Tribolium castaneum: one gene and its partners. The protein of the gene in region 3 purifies or fractionates together with the protein of the main gene of each other region. This does not show direct contact. Links are inferred from orthologs where the notes say so. Each region holds a gene or a part of one and is shown on either strand. Other genes may lie near its edges. The genes, in order: IFT57, IFT46 and nompB.

Region 1 (4,101 bases), on a different chromosome or scaffold from region 3:
CTCCCACCAATAAAACAACATAATACATCACAAACTTTTATTGTTCTAGAAAACCGAAATCGCTTGTCCAAACTCAGTTTCCAAATTTTTCTCGTCTCGAATTTTCGACTGGAGCAAAATACACTCCAAAATTCCAATCCTTACATCCATTTCCACAATCTCAGACTTGACCTTACCCAACTGTTTCTTAATATTAACCAAAGGGGCTGAAAAAAAATTATTTATTGTAATATCTACAAGACGATAAAATATAATTTCAAACGCTTGATAAGATAGATAATTGTGAATTTTATCCTTCCATTATATTGACTGAAAAAATGTCAAAAACAGAAAAACAGACACGGTTGCGAACTTTATTTTCCCAGCCGATAAAATTCCGTTTTACCATAAAGTACCCAACCAGTGGATAAAACATACTTCCATCCGTCATCGAACTCCCTCTCTCCTCCATTTGCTGTTTGACTGTCTCCAATCGATCCGTTAGCCTGAACAGCTCGCGATTCCTCTCAGCAACCCCCTCGCTGATCCCCTTATAAGCATCTCTGATTTTCGAGAGCTGATCTTGCAGCATTCTATATTCATCCAAATTATTCTCCAGCTCCCGATTGAGAAACTTCTCTCGACTTGCGATTTTATCAAGCGTTTGACTTATCTCCTTATGCAACTTCTCCAACTGTGTTTTAACCACACCAAGTGACGAGTCAACACTGACTTTGTATTGCTTCATTTGCTCTAAATGCGAACGCCAATCACGGTTTTCATTCTTAACTGTGATTTTTAAATGCGGGAGAACTCGCTCCAGTTCCAATTTCCACGCTTCTTCATTTACGTTCATTTTGATTTCGGCCATTTGGGGCTCTTTCCGGGCCACTTTCACGTTATCAAGGAGGAAAAGGTTTTCCTCGTCGGAATCGTCCGTGTAAGCTGCCAACATTTCCTCCTCCACACGGTCAAGGTTTATCTCGGATTCGTCGTTTATCAGCTCGCTTTCTTCCGCTTTTTCCTCGGGAAGCAAAGGCCTAACACAATTTTTAAAGCAAACAAAGGGGGATTTACTCACTTTTGGAACATGAAATTTTTCTCCAAAGCCTTGCTGGCCAGACTGTCCAAAATGTAAACCACTTGTTCGCCCACACCTTGCATCAGCTTATTGGCGTGGAAATTAACAGCAATTTCCTAGAATTCGGATTTTAATACTTGGCCAATAAATTAGTGGATGGAAACAGAATTTTTGATTTTACGTCTGTTTATTTTTTGATATTTGTTTTTTTTTGGCAAAATTTAGCGAAAAAAATGAGTTCCTAGCTGAAAAATTAAAAGTGCTTGAAAAAGGCGCAAATTTAGCGATAGTTTGGATATTTTTTTATTATTTTTAACTGAAATATTTAAAAAAATTCACAAATTTGGGGATTTTGTGGGAGATTTATTGTGAAATTTGCCAAAAATTTCGTGTTCCTAAGACGAAAACGTGCAGAAAATCATAAAAAACTATGTAAAACTGTGTTATTTTAAAATTGAGGTTTAATTTTTTATTAAGAATTTCTCGAAATATGAGAATTTTTACCTGAAAAATCAACTTACACGCTTGAAAAATTCCAAAACAACGCTAATTTTACCATAATTTGTTGCTTTTCGACGAAATTTGGTGGAAAATTAAAGTTTCAAATTAAAAAAAATGCTTAAATGTTTGAATTAAACTTTTTTGACCTGACCTGACCTGACCTAATTTGCTGTTTTTTTGTGTTTTTTGTCTCAATTTTGTGCCAAGATGCACAAATTTGACGATAGTTTAGATATTTTATATTAATTTTGACGAAAAACACATTAATTTCGTGATTTTTTAAGAAATTTATGACGGAATTCAGCAAAAATTTCGAGTTTTTGGACTCATTTATTTCAGAGTTTCTCAAAATAAGGAATTTTTGAACTTGGAAAATTCCAGAATATTGTCTTCTTTACCGTAATTTGCTGCTTTTTGACAAAATTTGGTGAAAAATTAGAGTTAAAAATTTAAAAAAAATGCTATAACGTTAGAATAAAACGTTTTTTCGATCTAATTTGCTGTTTTTTTGGGGTTTGGTGATTTAATTTAACGATTTGGGAATTAATATATAGTCTAAAGTTTTCAAGAAAAAATTCTAGTTCAAACATTTTATATAAAATTGGCCACAAAATATCTAATTTTAATTATTCTTATGCTATTTTGGTGGTTTTTAAGAGAGAAATCGTTGAAACTTTTATGTTTTTTTCGAAAAAAATGTGCAAATGTTACTTCTACTGTCGTAGAAAAAATATAGTATGCAACTCGCTTTATAAACTCGTGACAAAAATGACGTATCATACTGTGTTTTGTAAAAATACCAACTTATATTCTGTTTCCAACCATAGTGCAAATTTCAATAATGAATTACATTTTTTCGCACCACATCTAGTATTTTTTCCACGGTCACATTCGGGTCATCATCCTCTTGTGGCGTTTGGAAACTAATTCCAATCTTCTGTATTAAATAGGCCGCCAATAAGGCAAACAAATAAAATTGTTCGCCCGGGTTTTTGGTAACAACAAAATAATACCTGTAATTAATTCCATTACTATTTGAATTATTAAACTGGGGACTTTCCTATGGATGGGCTTGAGCTTAGTTTCCTTGAAAAATTCAGCTTCGTAATTCAACAATTTCAACTTATCTAGAAGCCCTTCCATTTGGCTAAAAGCCGAAAACGTTTGTTCACTCTCTTCTGACATTTTTTGGCGTAAAATTTCGTCAATTTGTATTCGTATTGTCATGGTAACGTGCGGCTCCGCCCACTTAGAGGGCGCCACATTTGACAAAAACAGTAATGGCGGCCGGTTGCTAAAAGTGGGCACAGCCGTCTCAACCAAACTCGAAAAAAAGCCAAAATGTAACGAAAATTTCGTAAAATTGTATTATGAAGCGTTGTGCCAAACTATTCGCTGTTGTATTTTTGGTTTTTGTTAGTGTTGCTAGTGTGATAAGACTGTGTTTTTGCTTTTGGTCTGGATTATTTGAATCGGACAATAAACCGGATGGTAAAGTCGATGAATGGCTAGAACGGAACAATTTGTCACCGTTCAAGGACTGTTTTGTTGACAAAGGTGAGTGAAATTAATGACTGATGACGTTGGAAAAAGCAGCGAAACGCGCCTGATTAAGGGTGCAAATGTAAGGGTGCGAGGGCGCAGTATCGGAATACAGTCGCCCAGGGTTACAAACAAAGCCAGGCACTGCAGTCGCTGGCGAGCACCCATCGACCCAGCACCTGCTACCACAGAAATACCATGAAACCCCTTGAAAACTCGCTCCGTATCAATGTAACATATCTGGGTTTGTTTTGTTGGTTGTGAGTGTGTTGTGTTAAAATGTTGTGGGATGACGATACTGAAATTTGCTCAATTGGCATGACCATGCAGCCGTCCGCTAGTGCCTCCTCTGGTAAGAATTAATTCAAAACACCAGGCCATTTTTTGGGGTGTAATGGCGATGGTAATTATACCACTGAAGGCGAAATGGTGGATGCGCCGGTTCTAAAACACGCAACTTGATTTTTTTCATGATTTTGTAAATTTTTTTATTTTGAATGTGTACCAATAATAAAAGTTGGTCATCTCACAGCAGGGAGTAAATGTGGAATTTGTTGGGCAAACAAATAGTAAAATTAAAATGGTTGCGGTTAAAATTCTACCATAAACTGTAGTCGTTAAAGTAACTCATTAGGGTCGCGTGTTATCGTTTATCAAAGGATATGTTCGAGGTAGGTTGGCGTGTTCAAATGCTGCCAACTTGGACGCATTTTGTGTTGGAATGATTTTTGGTGATTTTTTATTTTTATAGTTGGGGATTATTTGACTAAAAAAAGATTGTATAATTGTTAAAGACTTTACGTTTTTCTCTATACGTGATTTTTTTTCTCAGAATTTTTCGCAATTATTTATTTTCATATTAAACTAAATGCTTCGTAGTCCAAATCGTTTCAAATATAAGATTTTTTTTAATGGAACTAATTTTAATTTGATCAGTGGATCTTCACAATTGATTTTTTTCTGGAAATTTTCAAATTACGAAAAAAAATTCTGAAACT
Region 2 (3,461 bases), on a different chromosome or scaffold from region 3:
GTGATTGTTGTTTACTTAATTTATTATTATAATAATTTATTTATTTTGATCGAGAAACCAAACATAAATACAGGGTGAGGCATTTTTTTTTATAAAATCTAGTGCGTGTGCAGGAACATTATTAAAAAGTATTTGATAATTCGATATCATTTTAGTTTTGACAGTTCTGACCAGTTTGTGGTCATAATATAATAATAAATAATAAATAAAATAATAATAATAGTAAAAAATAATAATAAAAAAGTAATATAAGACTCAAACAAATTTTTGTCATCAAAAATCTGGGACTTTTGAATCATCCAGTATTTGTGGTCACTCAAGATCAAGTTGCCTACGCAATTACGCACCAATTATGCTATTTTTAAAATATGCACATTTTATCAAACACTTTTAATTATTATTTACTTGCACGAGCTTGCAATAACAGACTATAGGTAAGTATTTCACAGAAGGGCAACAGGAATTGTAAACATAGCTTCGGCAAGACCAAAAGGGCATTTAAATTAATCGAGATCAAGGCTAAGATAATTGATTTATTTTGTAATTATCAAGAGTGTCCTCTAATCCAGTACCAACTGATCGGCAACGTTTCCAATCGACTCGCTTTCCTCAACTTTCCCAAGTTGGCCGTTTTTGAACAACTGCGAGCTTTTGACAGCTGCAAACAGCGAAAACAGCAAATGCAACGCTTGGATTTTATTTTTGACCGGAATTTGAAACAACCCGCAAACTTCCTGCACATAATCACTCAAATTTCCCTTAGGTTCCGGAAATCCGTTCTCACTCAGCTGTTTTTCCATACTTTCGGGCCATTCTTGCATCAGCTCGTCCAAATCGGGCATCGGTCTGGAAAACTCAGTCAGGTCAAGTCACTCAAAGTCTAACCTACTCTGTGTAACGAACGGCCGGAAACGACTTGCTTTTATGCAACGCTGAAATGTCTTTAATCCACTTATCGATGATTTTGGCGTTTTTCTCAACATTGTCGATTTTTTTGACCACCTGTTGGTGTAAAGCATGACTGAGGGGTGGGGGAAAGCGGGGTTAGGTACCACAGTGCTGTCATTGGTCGTTTTGACCGACTCCGCCCTCAGTTGCAAGTGTAGCAAGGCCGGGTCACTCTGATTGGCCGCCGGTTCGTCCAAAACCACCAGTCCCAGCTGCTGATTGGCTACGAAGTCCGCGTCGGAGAGCAACGTTTTTGGCGGGAGGACTTTTAAAAACGCGTCAATGTCGCCAACCGCTGGGAGAAATTCAGGCACGAAGGGTTTGAACTTGTGGTCCAAACCCATTTGTTGGGGGATGTACCTAAATATTTAGCAGCCCTGTAAGTATTTCAATCGACTCACTTTGTTATGTATTGAAATATGTCTTTAATTTCGGGACTAACGTCCAAATTTTCGTACTCCTTCGGGTCATATTCACCCGGAATTGCATCCTTTGTTTTTTCTTCGTCACTGTCGTCTTCACTGTCACTCGATAAACCTGTTGGTTTACGTAAGACAGTTTGGCGGCCCGAAGGGCCGGCGCTGGGGATTTTAGATAAGTGTTTGTCAGGGTCGTAGTCGGTGGCCGAGGCCTGAAAATCTAAGTACGGTTCTGGACACAGGTTGGGGGTTTTACCTGTCTGGTGGCCATTTTGGCTAAATTGGTTTCGTAATCGTTGATTGTTTGCGAGTTTGAGCGTTCAGATAACGCGCCTCCGTATTTTTTGAGGATTTGCTCATCGAAATTTTCGCTCTCTTCTTCGTCCTTTCAAGTGAAAATTGGGTAAAAATTTATTAGGGGAAATACCTACAACTTACGTCAACAATTGAAAATGACCGTTGCATTTTTGTGTCAAAATAATGATTTTGATTTAGAAATGGCGTTGTTTTGTTTGTATTTCGTTACTTAGCAACCGAGTTGCGTGGATACTGAACAGGGGATGTAACTTGATTTGTTTTTTTATGCGTTAGTATGATTTTTAGAAAATGATACAATCAAAAAAACGACTGTAAGTCAATTTTTTTTAATGAAAAATGGAATAACTATTTTTTCAACAGCACGCAAAACTAGGTATAGAGGGTGTTTCAAAATTGACGAATTCCAAGTTCAGATGAAAATTGTTTCGGTAGTCCAATCGTAAAAAAATTAAATAATAAAAATAAAATAAAAAAATGCAGGGTGCTCAAAAACTGGCGCACCAACTCAGTGGTACGTTGTTGAGAAGCATGTGTAGATCACGGGAAAAATCTTGAAAAAATTCCTAAACCCATATTTAAAAAAATCTGGAGCTACAAACTTATTTTGTTAACTTCTTCAGTTTTCATTATTTTTTTATGTTTTTATGTTTCATACCAGGTAATCGTTCCGTAACAAAACGATGAATAATTATTTTAAAATTTACTATCAGATTCTAGCAGTTTTTTTAATTTAAAAAAATTAAAATTTATCCAAAAAATCCCAATGTGTAGATGTGCCAACACTGGGAATTATTTCCTAGGAAACCGTTTCAAAAATAATTTATTTTTATTGTTGCTCAAATTCTATTGCGATCAGGACTATTAGACAACGTTGCCACATATCATTTATCTAAAATCCGTTATTTATCAATAACTTTAATACAAAGAATTTTTTTACTATTTTTACCTTTATATGTAACCAGTTCTCTACCACACACCATTGAGTTAGTGCGCCAGTTTTTGAGCCCACTGTATAATAAAAAAATTAAATAAAAAAATATAATAAAAAATAAAATAAAAAAATAACATGAAAAAAAATAAAAGAAAAAATTAAAAAAATTAAAATAGCTTTCTTATGGAGCAAAAAATTTTTAAGTTTTTGTAATTTGCCGTTTCAATTAAAGAAAAATATAAGTTTTTTTTACTTCAAAATGAAGTTAATTTTTCGAAAAATTGTTTTACATTGTTGTTTTCCACAACCACCTACATCAAAATTAACAATAGACATTGAAATTTTTAACATGCTAACCAATGTGTCTTTGTGGGGAAGCCTCGAATTTTCTACATTTGGACTACTGAAGTGATTGTCTACAATGCTCTGAACTGGGAATTTGCCAATTTTGAGACACCCCCTGTATATGTTTTTGAGGAAATAAAAAAATCTGAACCACTCCATTTTAAAAAATCCTAGTTTTTTAGGGTTGACTGTACAAATTATAATACTTGTATCAAAAAACTTCATACACGATAGCATAATTTGTCTTATTTGTCTAATTAACATTTTTTCCTTCCTAATTAAGGAACAGTAATTATCGTTTAAATTTCTAGAAATGTGCTTGCGTGTTTATAATACATAATAGATAGAAAAAAGTAATAAGAATAACAAATTAATATGTACCCTGGTTCTATGAAATGTCTTAAAATATTTTAACTATCTTGCTATTTCATTTCAGTTCTTAGTAAAATTTCGCAAATTCACATAAGTACGAGTCCTAACAACTAAATATTTGGACGAAT
Region 3 (4,169 bases):
GAATTATTTTTTGGCTAATTTACTGGACAGATTTTTCTGTGGTTATACAGAGATAGGACTTTAAAAAATTTTGGTTTTCTCAAAATATTTAATCATTGGTTCGTTATTCGTTACTATACGAATTATTTTTTGGCAAATAATTCGTAACATTTTGTTTTGTTTTTCTCAAAATATTTTGTGTTTGGCTCGTTTTGTTTTGGCTTTGGAATTCCAAAATAAATTATTCAACATCGCATATTTTTAATTTTTTTCCGGATACCTTTTATCCCATCTATTGTAAAAATTACTTCAATGTGGTAGTGGTGGGCTTGTTGTTTATCACCATCGTGGTCGTACAACTCGCCCATTTTTTGCAGCGCCCCAGCGTCCGTTGGTACAAGACCCAGCAATTGTTGGTACATGTCGGCAGCGGCTTCGCTGTCACCCTTCAATTCTAATAAATTAGCAACTTGGTAAACCACATTTGGGAGAAGGGCAAGCGAGCCTGAAAATCTCTGAAAACACTGAAGGGCTTCCGCGTAGTGTCCTTGCCGTTTCAGCACCAAACCTACGAAATTTGGTTTTGTGTTTCGTTTTTATGTAATGAATTAAGCGTACCGAGGTTGTAAATTGCCTCAAAGTGAGTCGGATCTAACTCCAAGGCGTTTTTGAACGAGTTAATGGCATCTTCCGGCTGTCCTTTCGCCATTAAACACGCTCCCAGGTTTACATAACCGTCCGCACTTTTTGTGGGATTTGTTTCCACAACTTGCGCGTATTTCGTTGCATTTTCGATGTCTCCTTGCTTCAATAAATGAAATTAAATTTTGTTAATTATTTACGTGGGGGTTACCAAGTAATAAATGAAACTCAAATTAATTGCAGCGTTGATTGCAATAACTGAGTCTTTTTCAAAGGCTTTCAACGTGTCGATTGCTTCAGGCAATTGGTTTTGTTTCAAAAACATTACCGCTTTATTAATTTCGAGATTTGAGGCCAGTCGAGCGTATTCTGAATTTTTTATCGACATTACGCACCAGTCATAGCCTTTAAATGTGTTTTAGTAAAAAAATTATTATTGCTTTAATCGCTTTTAATCACCTAAACTAAATGTGTCTTCAATTAAAGGTGCTATAAGCTTAGCTGCCGTTAAAATGCAGTATTCGGCGTCCTTGCATTTTTTTATTTCGTATTTATGTAAATCGTCGTTTTGAATAGCCATAGCGATTAGTACATCTTCTGGATTGTCCTAGATGTAAAAACAATAATATTATGAATTATTTATGAAATTTTTGTACATATTACTGCTTTGTACCTGTTCAAGGTTGTATTTTTCTTCATCTTCGACTTCCAGAGGAACGTTAAGTAACATGGAAAATGCTGTTTTCATTCTATCTCTATCTTCCAAAGCTCTGCAACAGATAATTAAGTGCAAGCCTGCCCTATGACAAGCTTGTTCGCCCATTATGTACTCCAGACTTGAAATTGCTTCTTCCCATTGGCCCATTTTGATAAAAACTAACGCAATATTGTGCATTATTTTGATTCTGTAAAACAAAAACTAGATTTTTCCCAAAATTGTTAAAAAGTACCTCAGATTTTTTTGACTTGAAGACACTTGGTCCAAAGCCATGCGATACATTTTGACCGCCATTTGGAACTGGCCTTGTTTGAAATAAATATTGCCCATATTTATCTTCAAACGGTGTGCATTTGAAAACATTCGATTTTTTATGATCATTTGGTACGTGCTGAGTGCTTCTGTGTATAATTCATTGGCTGCGTACTGGTTACCAAGTGTGAACAAAACCTGGAAGCTCAATTTGAGTAACCACTAAAAAATTTTTTTGGACAAACTGACAACAAAAGTTAAATCAATATCGTGCAAGTCACTCAGATCAGACTGTTCCTGCATTTTGATCAAAACCCGCTCCTTATTTGACGCTTCTTTAGCCTTAGAGAGCGACTTCCGATAGTCACCCTCGCATTCCGCGACACACGCCTCTTCCACAAGCTGCATGATTTTTGCCTTTTGTTGCCGAATTTTCTGTTCGGGACTAGATCAAAAAAATTAGAAATTAGCAACGAAAGACAAACAAAATTACGAGTCATCCTTTTGCAACTCCAGAGGCGGCGTTGGGGCCGAAGCAGCTTGGTTCAAAGGGTCGAAAGGTTTCCCATGGGAGGTGTACCCAGCCCCGCGCACCGCCGTCATGGGCCTGTTCACCACATCGGCCCCAGTCCCTGGTCTGAACCCAGTTCCGGGTTTATACCCAGTTCCCGGTTTTTCAAAACTCGTCTGCTTAAAGTTAGTCGTGGGTTTGAACCCAGTCCCGGCCCTGTATCCCGTTCCAGGCTTGTAGGGGGTCTTGGGAATCCCGGTTCCTTGTCTTTGAAACTGCAATAGTTGGTTTATTTGATGGTTTGCAATTTTGTGACTTGCCTCTGTGGTTGATCCCAGGTACATTATGGGCTTAGGGGTTGATAATCTGGCCATTTCTGCGATTCTTACACTTTTGGTTGTTACAAAATCGTCGGTTGGGGATGACGTGTTGTTGATTGCAATGAAATCAGGCGACTCAATTGCGGTCATTTTTTCGTTATATTTTGCGGTATTTAAAGAATTAGGTAATGAAGGGGTTTCTGGGTTCGTTTATTGATTGTTTACTAATAGGTTTAACCTTCTGAAAGACTCGTTTCGTCGATAAGTTGGGGCTGAAGGCGTAGGTGTTTGTTGATGTTGGGGGTTGCCCTAACAACTCCAATTATCAACACAGGCCCACATGGGGGTACCTGTTGTTTATTATTATTTTATTCAAGGAATTACCAGTAGATACTAGTCGGTATGTATTTTTCAAGTTTTCAAATATTTTTTTATATTTTGAATCGATTTTTCGTATTTATTTTTTACAACAGCTATTGTAAAAAATCATTTAAAGTTTTGACCGTGGTTTGAACAGTGATAACAAATAATTTAATAAATTATTGGCAATAAAAGCAATATTTTTTTATTTAATACTTTTCGCGTCTTGGAAACTTCTGCAACACGCAACTTGGGCGCTTGCGCCCACCTCAGTTTGACAGTTCTTCGTGTTACGTCTTTTTCACAAACGTTGTTTTCGTAATTTTTCCAATCCGCCGTGAATTTCCGCTTTTTTCATGTTTATTGTCCTTCCGCCGCAACTCTAGCCTTGTTCTCGTGTTCGCGGGCCGTGTGGGGGCCCAGTATGTAGTATTAAGTCGAAAACACGAAGTGTAATTTGTTGGAATTGTTAATACACCAAAATGGCCGCAATCGACCCTTCCCGATATAACGAGCTGTGCAGACTTTGTGCCGCAACAACCACGATGATTCTGGCGGTCCACATATTCCAAAACGACGGAATAATAAGCCAATTGCGGAAAAAAATCGAATCTTGCCTTTCCATTCAAGTAATGCGAATGTTAGGTTAGGCGCTTGCCTCCTCACCACTTGTGTTTACTAGGTGCACGAATCCGACGAGCTTCCCAAGATGGTGTGCGAGAACTGCATCTATAAGCTCAACTTGTTGGCGGAGTTTAAGGAGAAGACGATTCTCACGGAGAGGGTGTTGATAGATTTGTTGAAGCAGATCAATTCCAGCAAGCAGAGCATGGGGGTTGTGCCCATGGAGCACGAGCTGATCATGACGCAGAACCAGCAGATCTTGGCCAACCATGGCATGGGTGGGGTTGATGAGATTGATTTGGCTCACTTGGGGCCCAGGGAGCAGCTGATTGTGGGACATGAGATCATTTTGACCCATCAGAGTGTTGATATCAATGGTCACCCTCTTGAAAACATTAATTTGAACCACCATGAGTTAAACCAGGACATTTCTAACCACAGTTTGCAAACGCAGGACTCAATTTTGGTGGAGAATGGTAGTGCGAGGTTTGCCGGTGATAATTTAGATTTAATTCCGCATCAGCAGTTGTTGAATGAGCAGTTTCGGTTGCAACACGAGTTGCATGTTAATATGAGCGCTGAAAATACCGTTGATGGGATTACTTTAAGTGGGGGTTTGGATAATACTGTGGTTCACTCAAAGGTGAGCACTTGTGCCCCTAGTGTGAGATACTTATTTTTTTTTTAGATACAACACGATGAAAATACTTATCATATTCACAATGAAAAAGACAGTTTAGATTATCATTCAAACTCTGAGAAT

What was found.
Region 1: the proteins of nompB (region 3) and IFT57 purify together in Homo sapiens (affinity purification with mass spectrometry; 3 studies listed by BioGRID and IntAct, counting the BioPlex papers as one, with this or other methods). This does not show direct contact. The link is inferred for Tribolium castaneum from reciprocal best matches to the Homo sapiens genes IFT88 and IFT57.
Region 2: the proteins of nompB (region 3) and IFT46 purify together in Homo sapiens (affinity purification with mass spectrometry; 3 studies listed by BioGRID and IntAct, with this or other methods). This does not show direct contact. The link is inferred for Tribolium castaneum from reciprocal best matches to the Homo sapiens genes IFT88 and IFT46.

Annotation. Positions count from the first base shown.
Region 1 is NC_087402.1:750,145-754,245, forward strand, and holds IFT57 (intraflagellar transport protein 57 homolog), read right to left. Parts: upstream 2,804-4,101; 5' UTR 2,789-2,803; coding exon 2,620-2,788; intron 2,573-2,619; coding exon 2,412-2,572; intron 1,177-2,411; coding exon 1,061-1,176; intron 1,020-1,060; coding exon 418-1,019; intron 207-417; coding exon 46-206; 3' UTR 24-45; downstream 1-23. Other genes in the region: apoptosis-resistant E3 ubiquitin protein ligase 1, read left to right, coding at 2,932-3,118. UniProt on the Homo sapiens protein: Required for the formation of cilia. Plays an indirect role in sonic hedgehog signaling, cilia being required for all activity of the hedgehog pathway.
Region 2 is NC_087400.1:5,250,641-5,254,101, reverse strand, and holds IFT46 (intraflagellar transport protein 46 homolog), read right to left. Parts: upstream 1,933-3,461; 5' UTR 1,833-1,932; coding exon 1,806-1,832; intron 1,753-1,805; coding exon 1,624-1,752; intron 1,580-1,623; coding exon 1,350-1,579; intron 1,309-1,349; coding exon 1,053-1,308; intron 1,003-1,052; coding exon 890-1,002; intron 847-889; coding exon 561-846; 3' UTR 521-560; downstream 1-520. UniProt on the Homo sapiens protein: Forms part of a complex involved in intraflagellar transport (IFT), the bi-directional movement of particles required for the assembly, maintenance and functioning of primary cilia. May play a role in chondrocyte maturation and skeletogenesis.
Region 3 is NC_087394.1:29,197,932-29,202,100, forward strand, and holds the start of nompB (intraflagellar transport protein 88 homolog), read right to left. Parts: upstream 2,839-4,169; 5' UTR 2,573-2,838; coding exon 2,423-2,572; intron 2,378-2,422; coding exon 2,085-2,377; intron 2,037-2,084; coding exon 1,841-2,036; intron 1,790-1,840; coding exon 1,572-1,789; intron 1,527-1,571; coding exon 1,295-1,526; intron 1,229-1,294; coding exon 1,081-1,228; intron 1,027-1,080; coding exon 833-1,026; intron 785-832; coding exon 598-784; intron 548-597; coding exon 288-547; intron 1-287. Other genes in the region: zinc finger protein 260, read left to right, coding at 3,265-3,411, 3,465-4,049, 4,095-4,169. UniProt on the Homo sapiens protein: Positively regulates primary cilium biogenesis. Also involved in autophagy since it is required for trafficking of ATG16L and the expansion of the autophagic compartment.